Linked DNA regions of Struthio camelus. The protein of the gene in region 1 purifies or fractionates together with the protein of each later gene. This does not show direct contact. Links are inferred from orthologs where the notes say so. Each region holds a gene or a part of one and is shown on either strand. Other genes may lie near its edges.

What was found.
Region 2: the proteins of ASXL1 (region 1) and OGT purify together in Homo sapiens (affinity purification with mass spectrometry; 3 studies listed by BioGRID and IntAct, with this or other methods). This does not show direct contact. The link is inferred for Struthio camelus from reciprocal best matches to the Homo sapiens genes ASXL1 and OGT.

The regions. Positions count from the first base shown.
Region 1 is NC_090959.1:18,697,481-18,708,611, reverse strand, and holds the start of ASXL1 (polycomb group protein ASXL1), read right to left. Parts: upstream 7,547-11,131; 5' UTR 7,466-7,546; coding exon 7,406-7,465; intron 7,120-7,405; exon of another isoform or gene 6,879-7,119; coding exon of another isoform or gene 6,843-6,878; intron 6,739-6,842; exon of another isoform or gene 6,608-6,738; coding exon of another isoform or gene 6,569-6,607; intron 5,703-6,568; exon of another isoform or gene 5,005-5,702; coding exon of another isoform or gene 4,945-5,004; intron 2,239-4,944; coding exon 2,156-2,238; intron 1-2,155.
Region 2 is NC_090952.1:25,819,396-25,830,526, reverse strand, and holds the start of OGT (UDP-N-acetylglucosamine--peptide N-acetylglucosaminyltransferase 110 kDa subunit), read right to left. Parts: upstream 6,972-11,131; 5' UTR 6,682-6,971; coding exon 6,645-6,681; intron 2,902-6,644; coding exon 2,721-2,901; intron 1,705-2,720; coding exon 1,461-1,704; intron 1-1,460. Other genes in the region: TAF1 (transcription initiation factor TFIID subunit 1), read right to left, coding at 8,016-8,232, 9,412-9,589, 10,239-10,389, 10,676-10,774. UniProt on the Homo sapiens protein: Catalyzes the transfer of a single N-acetylglucosamine from UDP-GlcNAc to a serine or threonine residue in cytoplasmic and nuclear proteins resulting in their modification with a beta-linked N-acetylglucosamine (O-GlcNAc).

The DNA.
Region 1 (11,131 bases):
ATTGAAAACTGCACTTAGAATAATTTCCGTTTCCACCCTGAATGTATCTGTTTTTTTGACATTTCTTCACAAACATTGGCAACAGACAAGATTACCCTGTATCATTTGTAGACACTATTACAAAAAAAGAAAAAAAAAGAAAAAAACAACAGCCTTCTGTCCCATTACACATAAGTTTTCCCTTCCAGGTTTTACAGAAGGCTCCAAGTAAGCTAACCAGCCACAGAACAAACTTTCTTAGAATGGAAAAAGAATAGTTTCCTCTGAAATGACAGGAAAGCACAAACATCAAGACATTTATAGGAGCTAAATTCCAGTTATGGGGCTGGGCCCAAATGCCCTGGCTCAAACATAAGGCACACAGGACCATGCCCCTTCCATTGGGAGAGAGCATTCCCCTCAAACCAGGAAAACACTAGCTCAATATTAATTCAAAGGGAAAACCATCTCTTCAGTTGCCAAGTTATTTCCTTCAGGAAATGGAGTTTCAGGAAACGGAGCTTCAGGAAGGCCTTCTATACAAGTACCAACAAAATCTGCCACATATTTACACTGCCTGTATTAAGTGAACAATTACACTCTGAAGAAAGTAGTCTTTTCTTACAGTGAAGAATTAAGAATAGGGAAAGGAAAAACAGATATCCCAGAGGAAGAGCACGAACTTCTAAATAAACAAGTTAGCTTTATGGGATTTAACTTGACACATGCTGTGAAGTCTGGTTTCTAGCTACCTATTGTGACAACTATTGTCACTTGTCAAAGCCGGGAGAACACCAAGATAATTTAACACATGAAAAGAGACCTGCTATTACTTTTAGTAAAGATAGTCTATGCATGTAGATCTTCAGCTACCTGCTAAAGTAACAGGACTTATGATGGGATAGGACTGATGAAAGAAAGATGCACAGTAATGATGAAAATAGAAAGATGTATGAAGGTTTCCATTAAAACCTATCTGAATTCTACTTGGAGCTGTGAAACCACTACTCATAGCCACACCACTAAAAACCTACTTGGTAATAATCCCAAGTAACAAGTGGGTGTTCTAACAGCTCCGATATCGATGCAGCAATACAGGCTGGCACGATACCTCTCTAAACGACAGTAACTCCTACACATTATACCTCTGTCTGCATCACAAAGTTGTTCACTGTTCAAACCATCGCAGCTGTTTCCTGATTTCAGGACAAATAAGAAGCAGAAACAAATTAACGTTTTGAGTTGTTACGTCCCAGAAGAAATTAGTTTACTTCCTGTAGCTAGGTAGAGGTTCATAAAACCGGGGTGAGGGAGCAAATATGATTAGAAACAGTCCACACATCTGGATTCTCCAGTATGCATGAGCCAAAGACGATCTGTTGCGCCACTGGTGTCAAACTCATTTTTTTTTAAAATCACACTGCCCTGAGGCATTTATACCATCACAGTTGCCCACTTTTTTGATCTGCAAGACATTTTCTATTTCTCTTCTATGCAGTCACAGAAACAGATGGAAGTTCACGTGAACTTAACTGAGGAAAACAGTCTTCCATTCTGTAGCATCCTAGGTTCCATACCAGGTTCTTTTCTGGGCAAAATACATACTGAAACGTATATTTCCTTTATACAAGTGTCAAGAGCCACAGTAGCATGAGCCACACTACCACAGTGCTCTAGAATCTGATCAGAAGCCAGCATACTAATACAAAATAAAGGTGTTTTCTTGACTCTCCTAAAAGGTAACATCTGCTCTAGAAATGAAGTATGAGAGGGGACGGAACTTAAAACTGTTACTGAACTAGAATCACAATAGCAGAAACTACTGGGAGCTACTGATAAGAGAAATACACAAGTGGTACAATACAACGCAGGAGTCTGATCTGCGACAGGCATTTATTTTACAATAAATGGATGAAGGGGTTTCTGCATATGATAATAACCGGAATCTTTTCTTGGATTTTTTTTTTTTTTTTAAATCAAGGATAATCAGGCAGTATATACTGTCTTCCCAAATCACTACGCTCGAAAGAAAAAAAAAAAAAAGAAAAGAAAAAAAATGGAAGAGAAGTGGGCTGGAAGTGAGAGGCAGACTTGCACGAGGCAACCCAAGCCTTTATATGCAGCCTCCTCCATGTTCCACGCACGCTATGTTTTAAACAAGATGATCAATACTAACCTCATTTCCTTCAGTCCTTCAGCCTCTATGACCTGCAGAATCTGTTTTGGGGTCATAGGAGCATCAGAGTAGTTTTCCAGCACCTGAAGAAACAGAAACACAAGGCGTCAGTATAGAATTTGCTTCTAAATTAATAGAACTACTCCATAAGCTGGGATTCAAATACAATACTATGCCTCTTAAAACTTTATTCATCTACAAATGACATGCTAAAAAAATCCAGGCTACCTCAAGATTAGATCACGTTGTTACAAAGGGCTCACATTCATCTCATCCCTAACTAACTGAAATACAAACATGAAGAAGAAAGAAGTAGAATTTGGCCCTGCCCCTATAACATGAAGTCTGTGGTAAAGCTTCCAGACTTTCAATATGCATTAGACTGAGTTGGTACCACATAAGACCTTCAAACCTATGCAGCGGTTCTCCTTACCGTACATACCTTCTTACATCTCTATACAGCATCTAGTATCTTGCTGGTGATAAAAGTGTTACTGTATAACTACACAATTCAACAGTGCATCTTCCTTGAAATACTGCATTCATTTCATCTTCGTTCCATCTCAAGAGGAGTACCACATGTAAAATTCAGAATTCTTGTCAGAGGAGGACATAATTCAGAAAAGAACAAGAAGAACAATAGAGGATGTGGAAAAAATATGGACAGAGACACTACAAAGATTTGGACTGATTGCTTTAGAAAGCAAATGAGTAACAGGAGATATTAAAAAGGCAATAAAGTTTGGAACAGCTCAACCTTTCATATAATATACGAAGAACAGAATCATCACTTATGTATGGAAAAATTAAAGGGGTCATTTTAAAAATATTTTTTTCTTAAGTGAAACTTACTGCTTCTAAACATTTAGAAGCAAAAATGCACCAGGATTCAAAAAGAGGGCTAGACATTTCTATGGATAAGAAGATCATCGAGATAAACAGGAAACAATGAACAAAAATAAGTTGCAGTAGACATAAATCACTGTTTCTTTGGAAGCAGATTACCCTATAGCTGCCTAATATGCACTGCTTCTTGTGCCTTCCATTGGAGCAGCCAGTGTCGCTTTCCGAATGCAGAAAGATACTGAATTCAATAAACCTCTAGGTCTGATGTAGCATAAAGATTTCAACATAGGCATATGACATGGCCTGAAACACTCAAGAAAAGCAGCAACAGATATTCAATCTGGAACTTTTTGATCATAATCATAGACTAAATTCCCCTAACGTCATGGCTACAATGATGCACAATCCTGAATTCATTTGTCACCATGCTTTAAAGGAGTCAGCAACACGATACTGTCTTTCAGTTTGACTTGTGTGAGAAGCCAGTGGAGGAACCCAAATGCCCCTTTATATCAGCAGCATCTAGAACTGAGTCACTGCAGCAACATGTCAAGGCACAAAGCCTGCAGTTTGCCTTGGAGAGTTGCATTAGCAAGACGTTTGCAAAAAAAGTTGTGCTGGGCACCATTTGTATTCCCACACTGTCTCCCAGCCCCCAACAAGTAGATAGTAACGTAGGGGTTGGGTTTTTGAGTTCTACAGTTCAACTACATTTCAGAGTAAAAGGAATTTCTTAAATCATATCCATCCTAGAATTATTTTTCAGATTCCTGAAGATCATAAGAATCAGTAGTGCTAACCTGGCAGGGGACAGAAACTTGAGAACTCTGTAACCTGAGATAAAACACAATGAAAACACAAGGAGTTTAAAGAAAAGATCAAAGAAAACGATGAACCGTGCTGAAACAGAGTAAACAATTTTAATTCTGAGTCAATACAGCTCCATCACATTTTTTCCTATGCTAATCAAAAAACTCCACAGGTTACAATTTTCTATGCCTCTTCACAAACTGTCATCCCCCATCACTCAAATGGAATAAACATCTGACAAGGGGAAAGACATCACTTGAGAATCAAATGCAAGAGCCATGAAATGGAACAGGCCTCTTTTGAGAAATAAGGAAATTCTTCACAGCTTATAAAACCTCTCTCAAGTGTCAGACACAGCAGCAAGCAAAATACACAGCCCAAAACTTAGTATTTGCATAAAGATAGAAGAATCTATGCTCAGGGGAACAAATTCCCATCAACAGCTATATCAAATCTACCGGCTACTTTAAGGAAGAACCAGGAGAGAGAAGAACATACGACATCAGCCACCAAAAGCCCTGTCTCCAGTAGTTATCCCCCATCCGTTTCCATCCTCAGACTACCAATGTTACATTAACCTTTCAACAGAAGCTACCGCTTAAACAATACCAGCTATTCCTTTCCCACAAAAAGATATTTTTCCCCCCTTGATTATTTATAGTACTGGTAGTCAAGGGTTCCTACGACCATAGTTACAGAAGTTTACATCACTCCCCCAATTAATTTCCTAGTAGCATAGATGCCTAGCCCTGACAGCACTTGTTGAAGAGTCCTATGGCTCTGTGCGTTCAAATGAATCTTTACAGATTTTATGGAATGTGCATAATATTAGCTCTGTAGGAACAGCAACACTGAAAAGCACTTTTGCCTACAATTCTTGGAAACATCTAGAGGAATACAAAATATAATAGCGAGTGTCAGAAAGGAAAATTAAAAGCATTTTGACAGGGAGCGCGTGTAAGCCTAGTGTTAAATAAAGATCTATTTTTAGTGGATTTACAATCAGTCCTGCAAGCTGGAAGTGCAGTACGCAACTGTAGGTCTCTCTAAGTGGATAATCTGGTATGAGATCGTTCTATTTCTGGTTCATCAGTTGCTCAAAGATGCAGTTGAGGCTCAAACGTCTCATGTACCTGGGGTGCCTGTGGCTGAGGTTCTAGCCAAGAGACAGCTGTAGTTGTGAAGAGATTCATTTCCCATCACTGAACGACGGTGAGGGACTTTATCATGAGATGGCTTCTTAGAAGTTGCAGTTTTGCGTAGCGTTTTCGGCAGCCTATAAACACTGATTTATAACCTATTAGAGTTCAGCACATTTGAATGAGAGAGGATTTTGTGCAAGAACATCCAGCACCAGCTCCAGCCCCAAGATCACCTACTGGCAAAGCATCCCAAATACCTGTAGTGAAGTGCTTGACTCACAGAACTAGGACCTTGAAAAGAAATACAAGATGAAGTACTACACCAGCAGATTTATGCAGTAAAATACTACAGTGGCTAGTTTATGCCTCTTTACAGTTTTTCAGGCTAAGTCATAAAGGCCTAAAATATTAGGATTTCCACACAAAAGATTACACTAGTTGCTGGAAGGTAGATACTTAAGCATGATTAGGTTTCCTCTTGGCAAGCATTAAGGAAATTCTGTGATATCCAGAAAACCCTACACACAAGGGGCATCAAGACCAAATCCTAGAACACCCTTAATACCAGACACTAGTCACAGCTCGGCTCATCCATACGATTCCTTTTGAATGTCTACATGCTCCGGTATGCACCCCGCCAAGTTAAAACAAAAGAAACAAAAAACAACAACAAAGAAAACACAAGCAAACAAAATACTCCCAAGCTCTATAAATCTGTTTCTACAGACGTCCACGTACTCCATAGCAAGTACTCCCACATCCTCCCAAACCAACCTGTAAGTACCCCTGACAGATCCAACAGAAGGAAACCACAGCAACCCGTCTGAACCTGCACAGGGGCAGCAGGATCATCACTTACTCCATATACTGGCATTTATACGTCTATACAGATCTATTTCACTGTGTCACGAAAGAGAGCAGTTCCTACACAGAGGCCAAAAAGAGCAAGCTTCTTCCAATCAGCATTAAAAGTAGACAATAGCAACTAGCAGCACTATGCGGTGTGCAAAGAGCTGACCATGCCGTTTGCAACGTGACTGCTCTCCGTGTCAGCTCAGTGGGAGAACACGGTCACGGAGCCTCAGTTGCAGATCAGAACGATACCTCGGCTGCTCAAGAACAGGCGAACAGTTCAGTACCCAACTCAAGCAACGAGCCTAAACACCTCAAAATTTATTCCTTAAATAAAATTAAGTAACTTGCTGATTAGTTCATGTTCACTGTTTGATAGACACTAAAGTTCTTTTACTTTTTATACTTCCTAGCTTATAAATTGGGTTCAAGACTAGGGTATGATTTCAACTCTTTATAAAGAGAAAAGACTGTTCTCCTATTGCAATGGTCAAACACCACCGATGTTCCAACAGACTTCTCAAATGCAATCAGGCAAACATCAATATTTAAGTTTAAACCTTCAATAAACAGATTCTCAAGGGGGAAAAAAAAAAAAAGATACATAAGCACTGGTACATCTCCTAAAAATCAGCAACCAAAAAAAATTTCGGATCACAAGGACACTAACCTCAAACAAAGAGTTATTATTATATGCAATATGAATATACATCAGCTACGCTGCCTATGCTTTGGGCACCATTGGCATATGGAAGAAACCTACAGTCTCAATAATCAAAGCAGAAACTTTTGACAGCAGCATTTCTCAGACTTCAAGCCAGGCCTCTCAGGAGGCTCCAGTTCCTCCCACTGAGTTTAAGTCATCTGAAAAGAAGAAAACAAACCATTCTCAAGCTAAGAACGGTTGTCAGACTGTCTGCTGTTGCTGAGCTGCAACTAAAAATGAAAAACACAAACAGTTAAAAGCTACCCTTGCTAAACAGCGGTATTTTCACTGGCCCCTTTCCAAAACCTATCAGAGTCTCGCACACCTTTACCTGTGGCCTTGAGGGAAGCTCCTGCAGCGCAGGCATTGAGAAACCACTCCAAACTACACACTCCTGGCAACCTCTTTTCAAGAAGATTTTTATCTCAGAGGGGAAAGGGCACGTGCTCGCACTTTCTCCTAAAAGCGCGTCCTCCGTGCCCGCCTTTCCGGGGAACCTCTGCACGGGAGCCCTGCGCCCCTTTGTGAGCGAAACCACGCCAAATGGTTTTCTCCCCTTCCCGCCTGCCTCGGGAGGCGGCACAACCGGGGAGCAGGCAGGCTGCGGCAACGGCGGAAGGGGCCCCGGGCCCCCGGACCGGCGCCGTCCCGCTGCCCGGCGGCGAGGAGCGGGCGCCCCCCCGCCCCCCTCCCCGCCCCGCCCCGCCGCAGGGGGGAGCCCGGGGCCCGGCGGCACCGGAGCGGGGAGGGGGGGAGGGAAGGGGAGGGGAGGCCCCTCAGGGCCAGAGCAGGGCCGCGGCGCCCCCTCCCCGGGGCCTGCGCGAGGCCCGGCGCCCCCCGCGGAGCCGCTCCGGGGCGGCGGCGGCGGCGGCCGTGCCCCCCCCCTCCCCTCACCAGGCGGGCGGCCTCAGCCCACGTGCGCTCCTTCTTCCTCCGCTGCTTCATCTCCTTCATCTTCCTCCCGCGCGGGGCGGCGGGACGGCGGGCGCGGACCGTTAGGCGGCGGCGGCGGGGAGGGGCGGGGCGGCGGCGGCGCGCGGGAGGGGCGGGGCGCGGCGGGGCGCGGCGGGCGGGGCGGGGCGGCGCGCGGCGGGGCGGCTCCGGGCGCTAAGGAATGCGGCGGCGGCGGCGGCGGCGGCTCGGGCCCGACATAACAACGGGGTCAAAGGGCTCGGCGCGGGGGGGAGGGGGCGGGGCTTCGCGACGGTGGCCGCGGCGGGACACGGCCGGGCTCGCGCGCCGCCAGCGAAGGGGCGGGGACGGGAGCGCGAGCCGCGCGGCGGGCCGGGGCCGCGTTTGAAGGAAAACAAACCGCAAGGGCCGCTGGGAGTTGTAGTCCCGCCCGCCGCCCGCCGCCGGGGCCGGGGCCGCGCCGCCGGACTACAGCTCCCAGCGGGCGCTGCCCGCCCGCCGCGCGGCACGCTGGGCCGCGCCCTCTGCCTGCGCGCTCGCCTCAGGCCGCGGGCCCGGGCGCTCCCCGCGCCGAGCGGGAGCGGGCAGCAGAACCCAGCCGGGCCCAGCCCGGCGGCCTGCGCGGCTCCGAGCCCCGCCGTGCCCGGTGGCTGCTCTGGCTGCCGTTTCCTGAGGCCCCCGGGGGGCTGCGGTGCCCCCGGTGCGGGTCGCCGGTGCTCAGCCTCGGTAGAGGTGAGAGCGCTGGCTGTTGGCGGCCTCCGCGCCGCCTGCCTCACCGCGGTGCTCCTCGCTTCGCTCGCGCTTACAGTCTAATCATAACTGAGCCTGCTCGGAGTTTCGGTTTTTTATTTTTTGAAGAAAAGCGCATAGCGCTTTGTAAAACATGCAGCGAAGGAACCCAGCGATTACTTATAAATTAAGAATGGAAAAAGGGCATGTTTTGGTAGATGCAATAAATCTTTATTACACGTTGTTTTTTAGGATCACTTTTACATTCCTAGACAAAAGAGATGATACAAATAAATATAAGCTGTAAAACCTATGGACAGAACTATTGACAGGTTCTTTGTCTACAGATCACCTAAAAGAAGGTCAAGATCAGTGTATCTCCAAGGGGCTGCGAATTCCCATAAAGACAGCTACACCCAGGAGGAGACCCTCGGGCACTTCATTTCAAACGGAAAGAGGGAACTGAAGAAGGTAATAAGCACCTAGACCACAGAGCATTAAACCCACCATCGTACAGCGCAGCGCAAACAGGACGAGTGTTCTCACTCAGTTCCATCTCAGTGTCTAATTACGGCTTTTGCAGGTTATGGTCTTCCGATTTGTGTATTAACACAGCAGAAACAGACCCACAAGAGTCACACTGCTCTTTTTAAGCCCTGGTGCATGGTAAACATTATAGATGAGAAGAGAGGATAGATCCAGTTTAGAGGTGTCTCTCTGAAAGTTGGCAAACACTCTGTTTTCAGTGGAGGCAGACTTACTACATCAAAAGAAAAAAAAAAAAAAACCAAAAAATACTCTTGAACAGAAGCCTGATCTGTATAATGCATCGATGTAGTCCAAAATGCCAGGCTAGATGTGTGTATTTTTGAAGATTCAAGCAGCATGCATATATTTTTTAAAAAGCCATCAGACCTATATTAAGAATTTTAAGAAAGTGCTTTAATTCTTACGCTTCGTTTTCACATGGTGCTTGCTCCCAGAGCCAAAGACCTACTTTTACTGCATGTAACTTTTAAAAAAAGTTAGATCCCATTATACAGATCAGAGCAAAAATGAGAAGGATATTAAACATTCCTGTGAAGAGACTATGATTGCACACACTGTCCAAGGGCCTCTTCCAGGAGTCTGCTGGATTTCCTGTCTTTGGCTGTTAACCTGCAGGAAGCCCAGATGGTTCAGATAACACCCAGAGAGACGCAAACTTGGCAGGATCATTTTTTAGAAACTTCAAGCCAGAACTCAGTGCGTTTTGTTGGGCTATGACAATATATTTTATCTTAATATCATTGCCACTGAGTATCTATTCACGGGTAAGTCAATCAACATGAGAATCTAAGCTTCTGTAACAATCTGAGATTGCCCATGAATACACTAACCACCTCTCTATCCACAGCTCCGATTTAAATACAGTGACTAAACATCCAATTTTATTATTTTTCCATCCTATTGAATTTCTTTCACCTTGCTAATGAATTTCTACAAAATTAAAAGCAGAGCCTTTCTGACATATTAACCAGCTAGCTTATTAACACTAAAACAAGAACAGTTTAGGTTTGCACTGTGATTTCCACTGTACCAATCCTGCCACAAGGGGAGTTTTCAGCTTTTAATATCAAATTCCCTATGGAAAAGCAGTGACTGAAGTAGTGCACACATGTGCAAACACCATTGTGTCTGTGCATGCATATTCATATAGAAACATATGTGTACATATCTAGGTACACATATGTGTATATGTATTATGTTGCCCCTTGTTTCGTTTCCATTTTCTGAGCACTTAAGCCGTACAATTATCTTTTAAAACGCTGAAGTACAGAAGATTATGTGCTAGAGGGAAAGAAGATGACACTACGTTATGCAACAAGAGCCAATTAAAAGACTCTTCGTACACAAACAGTGGACTATAGAAAGAAAGATTAGGCCAGGTTTCCATTCCAGGTTGAAAGAAATTTGTCCGATGGCTACTCTTTCAACTATAGGCAAACTCCTCTTTCCTCCACCAAAACTAAAAAATATATATTAATCTCGTGATCCAGAAAAGTACTCCATGAATCAAAGCAGCTGAGTCAGAATTTAACCCGGGCCCACCTGGGCAGCTGGCTCACCGAGGCATCATGCCCGCAAGATGCAGAGGTGAGCTCTGTGCTGAGTGTTCAGTTCTTTCTGCTCATGGGAGTCAGATACAATGGAGTTCTCCAGCCTGGACGAAGTCACTCAGTGGATACTTAACGAGCACACAAGGTAGAGTCCATACATCAGAGCATTTCTAAAACCAGGCAAGTCCTCATACACTCACACATGTCAGTCTGGAGGAAGTCATCAGTGAGGGAGAGGAAACAGGTAAAAACATTCATAGGATGACAGCCAACAGCAACCAGAAAAAGTAACATCCCAAGTCTCAATATACAATGAACTAAAACTTACAACTGAGCTGTGAGACACTAGACAGGAACACCTTACTCTGTCTTCAACAGGGCAGTTCCACTTCCCTCTACCCTGCCACACAAGCCTGCAGCATTACAGCAGCCTGCTTATTCATAGGGAAGCTTTAGGAGGAGGCCATCGAAAGCAGGAGTTCTTCCTCCCTTGTTTCAAAGTACAACCCCTGGAATTAATACCAGATTCCATTACTCAGACTCAGTTACACAGGGCCTTCACTCCTACCAGGCCCCGAGTGGTCCGGGAGGTGGAAAGGGAGAAGTTCTAACGTGGAACAGGCGAGGCACAGAAGGTACCAAATACTGAACCTCCTTAGACCCCAAGCAGAGGGACCATACTCACAAGAACAGTGCACTTAAAGATAGCTTCGCTTTATGGTGCTATGCTCTTTACCCAGCCTAAAGGGGAAGAGTAGAGTCAGCCCTATGAGCCTGCTAGGAAGAAAGCTCCAAGCCAATGCTACATTTCATATGAACAGTGGGAGATGTGAGAAAATGGCCATACATCACCCCACAGTTCAAAGACTCAGCATGGGTA
Region 2 (11,131 bases), on another chromosome or scaffold:
AATAACGCCACTCTGAAGAAGTGGAAAGACATAAACGACCAACCCACACAATTCCTGTTTATACAGGAATACAAAAGAAATCAAAAAATCAACTTTAAGTCCCTACCCCCGAGGTACCTTTAATTCTTTTGGCAGAAGAGAAAACACACATTTTAAGCCTGCTTTCCCCAAGGCCCCCCAAAGCATGACTGTCTCTTCCCTGCAAGGCCTGTCTTCTTAAATTACACCATTAATAATTTGAAATCATTTAGAAACTATAAATATTATAATGGCCTTGCTTCCTCTTATCCCCATAGCAGGGTTTTTCTCCCTGTTTTTCCACACTCATCTATCCATCTTCTACAGCCTTGCCACTTGCTATTTTCCTACTTTCATTTGTAGCCACAGCACAGACTACAACTGCAGCATGTGACAGTACCTGGGAAGACCAAAGAGTACACGGACATTTCTGTCGACGCTAACAAAAAAGTTTCTGACCTAAACAAGACTTACATAAGAAAATATCATCTTATAGCATTCCTAGGCAACACAAATTCATTATGCTGAGTGGTGTCACGGGCAGAAGTTGAACAAGTTCACCTAGGCTTCAGAACACAGCAAAACAGGATTCTGAGCTCTTGCTGGACTTATTTTGCATTTCCTTTTTCAAAGGAAAAAAGGACTTAGGCACGCTAGACCAATGCTGCTTTGTGAGTATTTCTGGCAGAACACTGACACTCATCACCATACAGCATGGTGAAAGTGTCTTAATTGCTTGCTGAGTAGTACTATACAAGTTGAGTACAACACAAAATAAATAGAAGATATCACTGTAATTCAACGTTTGCTAAAAATGTAAATTCAAAACAATTACAACCCTAAACTCCAAAGAGCAGACCAATTAGTTCTATATAACTTACTATACTTTGCCAGATATACGGTTTCAGCCTACAAAACAAATCAATGTTTCTGTAAACCTGTCCATGGTGGAAAGCTAGCCAACGCAATTGTAATCGTCATGAAATTCGTGATTTCACAAAATAGTACCTGATGGTTTATTAAGATTTAGCATGTAACTGTGTCTCAGCGCTTCTCTCACTGCAACAACACAGCTTTACAACACACCAAGCCAGATTACAGATTATTCACTGATATTTCTGACCTTAAAAACTCAAAAAGCCCTTCCTTTTCTGCTATTCTCAATATTACAGATAACAAACAGCAGCCCTTACAAGTAGCTCAACGTAAAGATTTGTGATAAGTGTATTCCATGCATTTTTCAGAAAACTATTAAGTAGATGAAGTTTATGGTGGGCACGTTGGACGGAGCAGGGGAGGGCTGTTGGTTGCTCTTTTTAACTAATGTTTGCTGTTTAAATAGTCTTAATTCTTCCTACATCCATGGAAATCTGGTATTTGTCTGTCTGTCCTGAGGCAGCAGTGAAGTATGGAGCTCTTCCATAACATAAAGTGTTACTTACAGGATTGTACTGAAGGGCAGACACATATGCCTGTACTGCTCCTTCCATATCACCTGCAGCTACCAATGCAGCAGCCAGATTAATATATCCATCAATGAAATCTGGTTTGAGGCGTAGTGCATGTCTATAATGTTCAATAGCTTCTTGTAGTTGTCCACGTTCCTTGTATACATTGCCTAGGTTCGAGTAGGCTTCAGCCAACAATGGATTCTGTTTGATAGCCAAAGTGCTGAAGTGAGCAGACCTGAAGAAAATAAGACAAGTTAAAAAAAACCACTGACTTTGCCTGTCCGCTTACTTAATGAACACTCATGCTCAAGTGAGCCAAACATATAGTCAACAAACGTGAAGTTACGGAGAGCAGTCTTAAAAGCGTAGCTTCTCTTAGCTTAAATTACCCTCTCCCTTCCATTTTAGATTCTACTGAACAAAGAACAACTCTAGTTTGCAACTAGTAGAGTCCTGCAAGCCTCTGGCTAAACCTGAGCTAAACGCAGTTTAAAAAAAGGTTACTGTAGAATGTCTGTTAAGCCTCTGCCAACATCTGACAGCTTTTCTCTAAGCAATATTTTACTGGATACTCTTCTCAAGAAATAGGATATAGCAAAGATACGTAGGTGTAAAATTCTGTCTCCCACTCACTTTTCCCCGTATCTGAATTATTACGGCTTTGTTTACAAGCCTACGTAAATTAAATCCCACTCACAAGTTACTTCCATTGCCAGCACACACAGAGTCACAGCTGAAACAGATAATACCGTTTGAAATGCTTGAGGAACAAAAAGCAAGCTCAGGAGCAGATAGAAAGAGAACAGGGAGACAACTCTCAGAGAACAAAACATTCAACTAATCACGCCACTTCACAGCAAACAATCATCTTGTCACAGTCTTGCAACTAAAAAAAAATTCCCCGCAAAACCCCACACTTCAGGTGGAATGAACGATCATTATTTTTTGCAAGTGCAGACGCCTCTGGTACATACAAGCATGGCTGATATTCTGATATCAAAGTAAAACATGAGTAACAACATCTGTTGTTTGTTGCAAGGCTAGCAATTCCAATTCGGATTTCTTTTGCCCTAGCAAAATTCAGAAAGAAAGAACATTTTCGGACCAATTCTTACTGCTGCCAAGAGGTTAGTCAGTATTTGTGTTCAACGATAAAACCGCAGTTGTAACAGAACTTTTGTCAGCTGTGCTCAATGTTACGAGAGGTGCAAACTACAAGTAAAGCTTGACAGGACACCTCAGGTCTCCTACCTGTCCAGTCTGCGACACTGGAAGTGAATGGACGACAGTAATAAAAGCACACCAGTATTATCAGGCTCTTGTCTCCAAAGTTGCATGCAGTGTCTCTCTGCTGCTTCAAAGTCTCCTGCCTGATATTCACGATGAGCCAACTCCGCTAACCCTTGGAAGGAAAGCATACGTTTCGTTGGTTCTGGAGAATCACCAAAACATTTAAGGGGGGAAAACAAAAAGTTAGATAATGGAAACAAAACAAAAAAATGTTTAAGCAAAAAAAAAAAGATGTGCAAAACTAAAGGATGAAAATGCTTGAAATTACATAAAGTACTACGGCATGTGACATTTAAAACTCTCAGATCTTCATACCTCAATCTATAGTTATGACACTTCTAACATGATGGGTATAATAGTCCATAACCTCATCAGTTAATAATAAGCGTATAAACACAGAGAGTCATTACAAGTCAATCATTTTCCAATAACCTGAAAAATATCTGACAACATTCCCAAAATAATATTGTACTTTGGTTCATAACACTAAAAGTGCTAGTAACAAAACAATGAATCTGTTGACTTTTCCCCAACTGTAAGTCTTATACTTCATAGTATTAAAGACAAGTTCTAAAAACCATTAATTGAGAAATGAAGAGGACAGCAGACAAAAACTTCAAAGGACTCAAAAAAAAAAAAAAGTTTTGCTGTAGCAGTAGATTTGTAGCACGTGAAAGCCCGTAACAAAAATGAATGAATAAATAAATAAATACAAGTGTAACACACAACATTTCTTCCAACCTCTGTTATCAGGCTGTATTATCTATAATGAGTAAAAATTCTCCCATCAAAATCAATTTTGGTCTCAGAACGATAGCTGTGATTTTTATGCTGTTGGCCCACAGAAGCAGTCTTTACAAAGCACAGGATACAGAAAAGGATTCGCTAATTCTGGGTGTCGAGCTGGAACTGGAGTGACAAAGTGCTTTTACTGTTAACAACATATTCACAGAGAACAAAAAACTTGAGTAAAATATCACCTGTTTTAGATTAACAACCTTTTTTGTGAAAAGTAAGTTGTCTTACAAAGTACAGTTCTATCCTAGAAGATAGATATGGTAAGCGCATCTTGGGGGAAAAAAAAAAACGTTCATCCTAAAAAGAAGGATCTGCCCTCAAATTGTCTTTTTATTTTATACTTACGATATAAAATTACTTATTAAAAGTATAAAAATATGTTTCAACTACTGCAAATGTCTCTTATTTGCCCTTCTTCAGTCCTGCAGTCACTTTTAAACTCGCTTATTAAACATTTCCCACCAAGACATAGAGTTTTACATTTTTGATACAACGAAGCACAGGTAAATCCTTCCTAATACAAGGAAATTTGCTAATGCAATAGAAAAATAATCACGAGGAGATTAGGCACAGAGTTATTATCTAGTGTTTAACGGACTTGAGATTGATGGAAGCCATTTAAGTTCTTTTAAAGAGAGCTTTTTAGCACTGCTGGGTTTTGAAGACCGCAAACACTACAGGAGGTAACTAAAGCTGTTATTCCAGATGCATTGTCTCTGTCGGTGTTGAAAACTTTAACCGGTTCTGGCTTCACTGAAACTAGCACGACTACTCACTTCCAAAGACGTCACAAAATACTAATCAAGTATCTTCACACAGATTAAGTCCTTTTTTCAAGGAGCCTAGCTTAAGACCTTTCCAAACCCAGCCTATGGAAAACGTGGACTTCTGCATCTGGTTAAACCTACTGACAGTAAACATGTACAAGCGTTATTTAACGTGAAAATGACAGCATCATTTACCAAAATTTGAAGTGGCTGACAAGTAAGAATACTGAAGTACAAACATGCTGTTCCTTGCCTACCTTCTGTTGTTAACAGTCACACAGGTTTAGCTCATCTGACAGCTGCTGTATTTTCAAGTTCTGCTGACAGTGCAAAAAGGGGGAAACTAGTGCATGCTCCGTGGACCTAATTCAATCATTTCTTCAAATAAACTCCAAGGGTATTATTAAATTCGAATGCTAACACAAAACAAATAAACAAAAAACCCCACAAAAACTTAGACTTAAATTCTTATCACCACTTGGAAGGAACCTTCTAACTTACCTACATACTATGCTTTGCCTATTTAAGCAAAACAGAAAACTGAAACTGAAGTTACAGTTGTAGGGGCAACAGAGAGAAAATGAAAAAAAAAAAAAAGAAAATTTCATAAAATTCATTTTAAAAATAGAAAATTTCATATAAAACCCATGAATAAAAATTGTTAATGAGAACAACAAAACGAGTGAAACACTAAGATTTCTTTCATCTATGAAGTCCCCTTACAAAACAAACCCTACCAACTGAGATAAAGCAAACTAGTCACTTGCAGTAAGACAGTCAGCCATCTCTCCCAAGACACATTTTAGCAGCAATCCTCTTCACAAGCAGGTAGGAAAGTGCAAGTGGACAACTACCGCAGGCTTCAAAACGAGCTCAACGTTTACTAGGGCTACTACAGAAGAGAATCACGTTATCCAAGGAATCCATAATACTGCCACTCACAGTTGCTCACAGAATCCATTTAAAAAAAAAACAACGCCAGTGAAAGAGTTATAGCCAAAAGAATCCCTTACCAAGTCTTATAAACATTCACCTGCTGTATTACATGAACTTGCGTACCTATGCCAGCATGTACTATGTGCCTTAATTACGACCTTGGAAAAGCATAGCATGTGCTACAACAATGACCTTTCCTGATACTTTTAGAGAACGCACACAAAACAAAAAGCCCGTGCAGAAATACCACAACCGTACACAAGACAAAAATTCTCCAGAAATAGCAAGCCAAGCACTTCATGTGCGCTCGCACCCAGCTTTGCATTTGGATAAAATCTAGGCGCAGACAGGAATAGTTGCCACCTCCACACGGGAGGTGGTGGTGGCAAGGAACAGGGAACGCTCCCCTCCCCATACACGTCCTTGTCACCTCCACAGCTCAAGGCCCCGAGAGGATGCTGCAGATCAGGGGAGGAGGTGAGTGGTTCTGGCTGAGGTGGAAGGCGTTATCAGCAATGCCGTACAGAAGCTAGTTGCCCTCTCTCCATCTCCACCTTTGTACCACTCCCGCTTCCCTTTGCGTCACTCCTACCAGTAGCGCGTCTCTTTCCCTGTATAACCTTGTTTCCCTACTTTTCCATCATCCTGTTTCACCTTTTCAGACCCTTCGTTGCTCTCTGGTAACAGAAGGCCCCAAAAAACTCTAGCGGAAAAAGCTGTGTTTTCTGTTCATCCTTCCGGGATGCAGGGCCTTCTCCTTGCCCTGAAGGCAGGAAGGGGGATTTTGTCCCTCCGCCCCCGCGTTCTAGATCTGTAAACTGAAGAGAGCACCTTTCTCAGCAAGAGCACGCTGTCCTTCTAGCCAGAAAAAGTTGCCCTGCTATGCTATTCCAGGAGCGACCTCCTGGTTAAATATAGCGAGAGAAATTCTGGAAAAATCAATTTACGTTTTAGGTCAGGCTTTCATCCTTTTGCGTCCTCTGTAAAAACCTAATTGCCAGATAAATATAGACATAAGAAACCACCCCCCCTCAGAACTAATCATCTCGGCCTCCTGGAGGAGCGTTTTCCTACGCAGCCGCCGGGCAGCCGCGGCACGGGCCGGCTCCCTGCGGCTGGCGGCAGAGCCGGGGCCTCGCGCCGCGACCGGGCCCGCCCGGCGGCGCCGCGAGCCGAACCGACACGCGAACAACGGCGGCGGGGGCCGCGCCGGGAGCCGCCGCCGCTTCTGGAAAGTTCCGCCGGGAGCGGGGAGCGCGGCGCTCGGGCTCCGGCTGGCCCCGCGGGCAAGGGCAGCGCCCGGCCCCCGCAGGGCGGCGGCGGCGGCGGGGCCCGGCCTGCCGGCGCGCCCCCGAGCCCGTCCCCGCGCGGCAGGCCGCAGTACCTGTGCTGTCAGCTACGTTCCCCACGGAGGTCGCCATCGCGAAGGGAGGCCGGCGGGGCTCGGGCGGAGGCAGCAGAACGGCCGCGGGCACGCAGGGGGCCGCTAGGCTGGGGCACGCGGAGCAGGACCGAGCTCCCCACGCTCCCGGCACGCTAAGGCGGCGGCTCCCGAAATGGCGCTGGCGGCAGCGGAGGCAGCACACAGCCGAATGGCCGCTGCCGGACCTATCTCCGCTCACGAAATAGTCCGGGCGGCGCGAGAGAGCGGCGCCGGGCGGGCCCCTGCGCGGCGGAGAAATCTCTGCCGGACCTGGATGCGTCTCCTTCCGCCACGCTCCGCCTTCGGCGGCTTCGGGCGAGGGGCGGCGACGGCTTTGTCAATGCGCGTATCCTTCCGCGCGAAGCCATTGCGACAAACGGGGAGGAACTGCGCCTGCGCGCCCGCCCTCCCCTCGCGCCGCTCTGCCCGCACATGGAGTCCGCGGGCACATCCGGGTGCCGGCGGCGCGCGGGGCCTGCCGGGACAGCCCGGGGCCGCCGGGGGCGGGGGAGGGGAGGGGAGGGGAGCGGCCGGACTCCGCCCGGAAAGCGCCGCTGGGAGGTAGCCCGAGAGCGGGGGGGGACCTCGGGGACGCACGAGCACAGCAGGAGCCCATCTTCAAACCATCCTGAGTTTTATTTACAATTAATTTAACCAGTAAGTACAGTACCAAAGTCTGTGCTTTCTTCTCACTTGACTAAACATAAGGAATCTCACACCCAGGATACAAGCAGCCTGAAAATTCCTGAAGACTCCAACTAGCAAATTTTGTTTTCTGTGGCCAATCGCAGCTTAAAAAAAAAAAAAAAACCAATAGGGCAGCTGTTCACTGACACATTCAAGGTAGACAGTAGTCAGGAGAGAATGCATTCATACTCTGTTCCCAGGTAACTGTCATTTCATAAAGGGAAAGTTCTTATTTTACAATTGTTTTGATATCAAAACAACTGCAGACATTGTACTCTGAGCAACCATCTCTCCCTGGCAGAAATGCATGAATCCAACAAGCTACTATTTTTGAGAAATTACATCTATAAAGAAGGAAGAACAAACCATTAAAGGTCTTCAGCTGGATTCTAGAACTAGTGAAGATCACACCAGCCCAGTACTTCAGCTGGGCATGTTTCTCTAAAGCTTATTTTTCACTATTTACTCAGTCACGTAACAAGTTTTAGAACAATAAAAACTACTATTAAAAAAAAAAAAGCTGTTTCGTATTAACACAGACTGCACCATGTTGTTTCTTATACCCAGCTGGGATGTTAGTAGTTCATGAGCCAAGAGTAGCCCAAGATGACTGCCGTCTCAGGGAAAGGGAGCTTCCCGAGAAGTTTATTCATCTGAGTCCAAGTCACTGTCTCCTGCAATGGAATGAAAATCCTCACTGTCTTCCTCGTCCTCAGACAGATGGACCTGACTTAGTACGCTCGGCCCACAACGCTGCTCTTCCTCCTCTTCCTCCTCTTCTGAGATTTCATACCCTCCAATACTGCTGAAACTAGTATCTCTTGTGTTGGATTTTGGGTCTGGTTCTTCATAGCTGCCATAGCTGGAAGAAAGAATATACTCTTCTTATACTACTATTTCAAATCAGTTGTTGGCATCAGATATTCTGTCTGTAACATTTTTACTCCTGTAAAATGTCCCTGAGTGGAAGTGCTGTGAAACACTTTGAAACATTGTGCAATTCAATTTGATCAGTGACCAGTTTTGTTAACTAAGAAACAGCTCTCCCGATGAAATAGTTATCTATCAACATCCTCAACCCAATCTGAAATACTCAGGGCAAAAAAAAAAAAAAATCGGAGTTCTCTACTTGTTCCAGCACCTTCCATCTGTCACCTTTACTGGAGATGGGAAAGGCAGACAGCACAGCAATTCCAACGAGAGCACAGCCCATTCTCATCCGCTTCTCTAGCATCTACTATTGGCTATTGCCAAGGTACTGGGCTGGATGGACCATTTGCCTAATCCAGCGTAACTACTCTTATGGGCAGGTCTTATCTCTATTATGACAGCTGGCCTGTAAAATAATTTATTAGGCAAATACCAATAACAACATTATGGAAGTGAGTTCTTTCAATTAAAAAAAAAAAAAAAAAGAACAGAGAATCTAATGCTAACTCTCTACAGAATGGCCGGAGAAGGAAAAGTAGATCAGTATTTTCTCAAATCAGTGCAGAAAATAAAGCTACTATTGCTGTACTTGCCATTTTCTAATAATGGAACTCATTCCAAGATACACAATATACATATTCCTATTCTTTGCTGTTCTTTTGGACTTCAAGCAAGCAATTTTCTTCCAAGGAAGGAAATTATTACTCTCAAAGAAAAACAGCTTGACGTTAATCAGCTATATTATCTTTTAGCTTCAAAGGCACTTACTAATTTCTGAGACCATCTAAAACAAGGTTCATTTTCCTTGCCTTCAAAAAATACTATGCACAGTAAGTTATTTAACTTGCAAGAAAAAGTGATTCTTAATTTTATTATTTTAACAAATATTTTTCATTAGCGATGGTCTAAAAGCAAAACCAAATTCCTGTCAACAAGAACTTCAAAAGTAAGTTGCAATTACAGGTGCAACACTAAAACCAGTAACAGAGTAACTTAACAAGAACATGAGACATTCTCCAGCTCTTTGTCATAAACACTTCAGAAATCTCTAACAGAAGGGACTTTGTTCTGAAGAAAGAAATATTTTAACAACATTCTTTGCTCTAATTACCTGATATTACTGTCCTCCATGACATGAGATGTCTCCCCACCATCTCCTTCATAAGACATCATACTTTCTTCATTGTCCATGCCCATTCGTGTATTCTCTTGAAGAACATGAGGTTGTTTGGGTCTCACTGCACTGGACTCCACATCTGAATCGCTGCCGCTCTCACTCAGTTGGATAGCTGTGCAATAAGCCAACACTTGTTCATAAATCAACAGTTTTGTTCTCTCAGTGACATACATACTGTCTTTATTTGTTAAAAGGACACAATATTGACCGTAAGGAATGTATAGGAAGTAGTTTCCAAAATGCAGCAGAAAGGGTACCTGGTATCACTTACTGAGTAGCCATTTCTGATGTTATTCAAAAAAAAAAAAATCTAATTCTTCTACTCAAGTACTTCTACCACCTCTTTTCTTTCTTGATTCTAACTCCCCCCCCCCCCATAATAATTTTCTGAAGCCATCTCTAAATATCACCGCATGCTTTTCTGCATGGACACGTCTTTAGAAAGAGAGGGAAACAATCTGAAGAGCCTTCAAACTCCTCTTCCAGCTCTTGATAATAACATTGATCACATGGTTTCCCATCAACAAAATTGTGTGCTTTTGGTAATCTCTGCCCATCCAGTTTTTTCATCTTGTCCTTTTGGTCTCTTTTCCTTTGTGACTGCCAGACCACTTGGCCTATGTATCCCAATTATTAATTGACTAATTATTAATTAATCCCAATAATCCCGTTATGTTTTTGTGATGGAAGGACAAGAAAGTTGCTGGGTTTGTGAACAACTAGTTCCTATTCAACCTTGTTATATAAAAAGGGAAACCTACATGAGAAAGGATTATCTCCTTCTTCATCACTCCCATCATCATCATCCTCTCCATCTGACATGAGCAAATCTTCATAGAGGACGCTGGCCTGGGGCTGCTGGGATGATCCTTCTTCTTCATCAGCAAGATCACCATCTGCATCCTCAACTTCCTACGTCATTCAGAACAGGAATCATTAGGTTCAGACGTTGTATAAACTACTGCCGTTTCCAGCATACGCCTATTTTTTATCTCACAGTTCAGTTTGACGTATTCGTTAATTTGCTTTGTAATGCTGACATTTTAAAACTACATTTAATTGTCTTAACTACTGCTGTGAATACGCTGCCATTCAGGATGCTAGAGACAGCATACATCCCTTATACTATGGAGACTTCTACCACAAGGATGCAAGTCAACATGTGGACTGTGGATGGGATTTCTGTAAATATACTCACTGGGGCTGGAGTCTTAGGTTTCCCATCATCATCCTCATCAAACCCTTCAATATCTACGTCAGAGTCTTCCTCGCCCAGCCTACCTCGCCCCTGGCGCATCTGAATGGGGAACACAAATAGCGACACCATTGAGGAAGGTACTAATGGACATAAGCCAAAGGTAGGACTGACATCCAGACCACAATGATGAGTGGGGGGAAGAAAGGGGAGGGTGGGGGGAAGTCACTCTCAGAGCAAGGGTCCTTTCTTCCTTTAATCCAAGATCAGAGAGTACACTGTCTCCACCCACCTTTCTCCTGATGTGCTCATCTGTGAAAAGGAAATCTCCAGCCTTAAAGCACCCGAGGTCTTGTTTACCTAGCTATTTCTGGAATAGACCACTAGATCTTTAAAAGTACATGTTTTCACAAGATATTTTCACAACAGTCAGCAGTTCCAGCAAATCTTTTCCTGCCC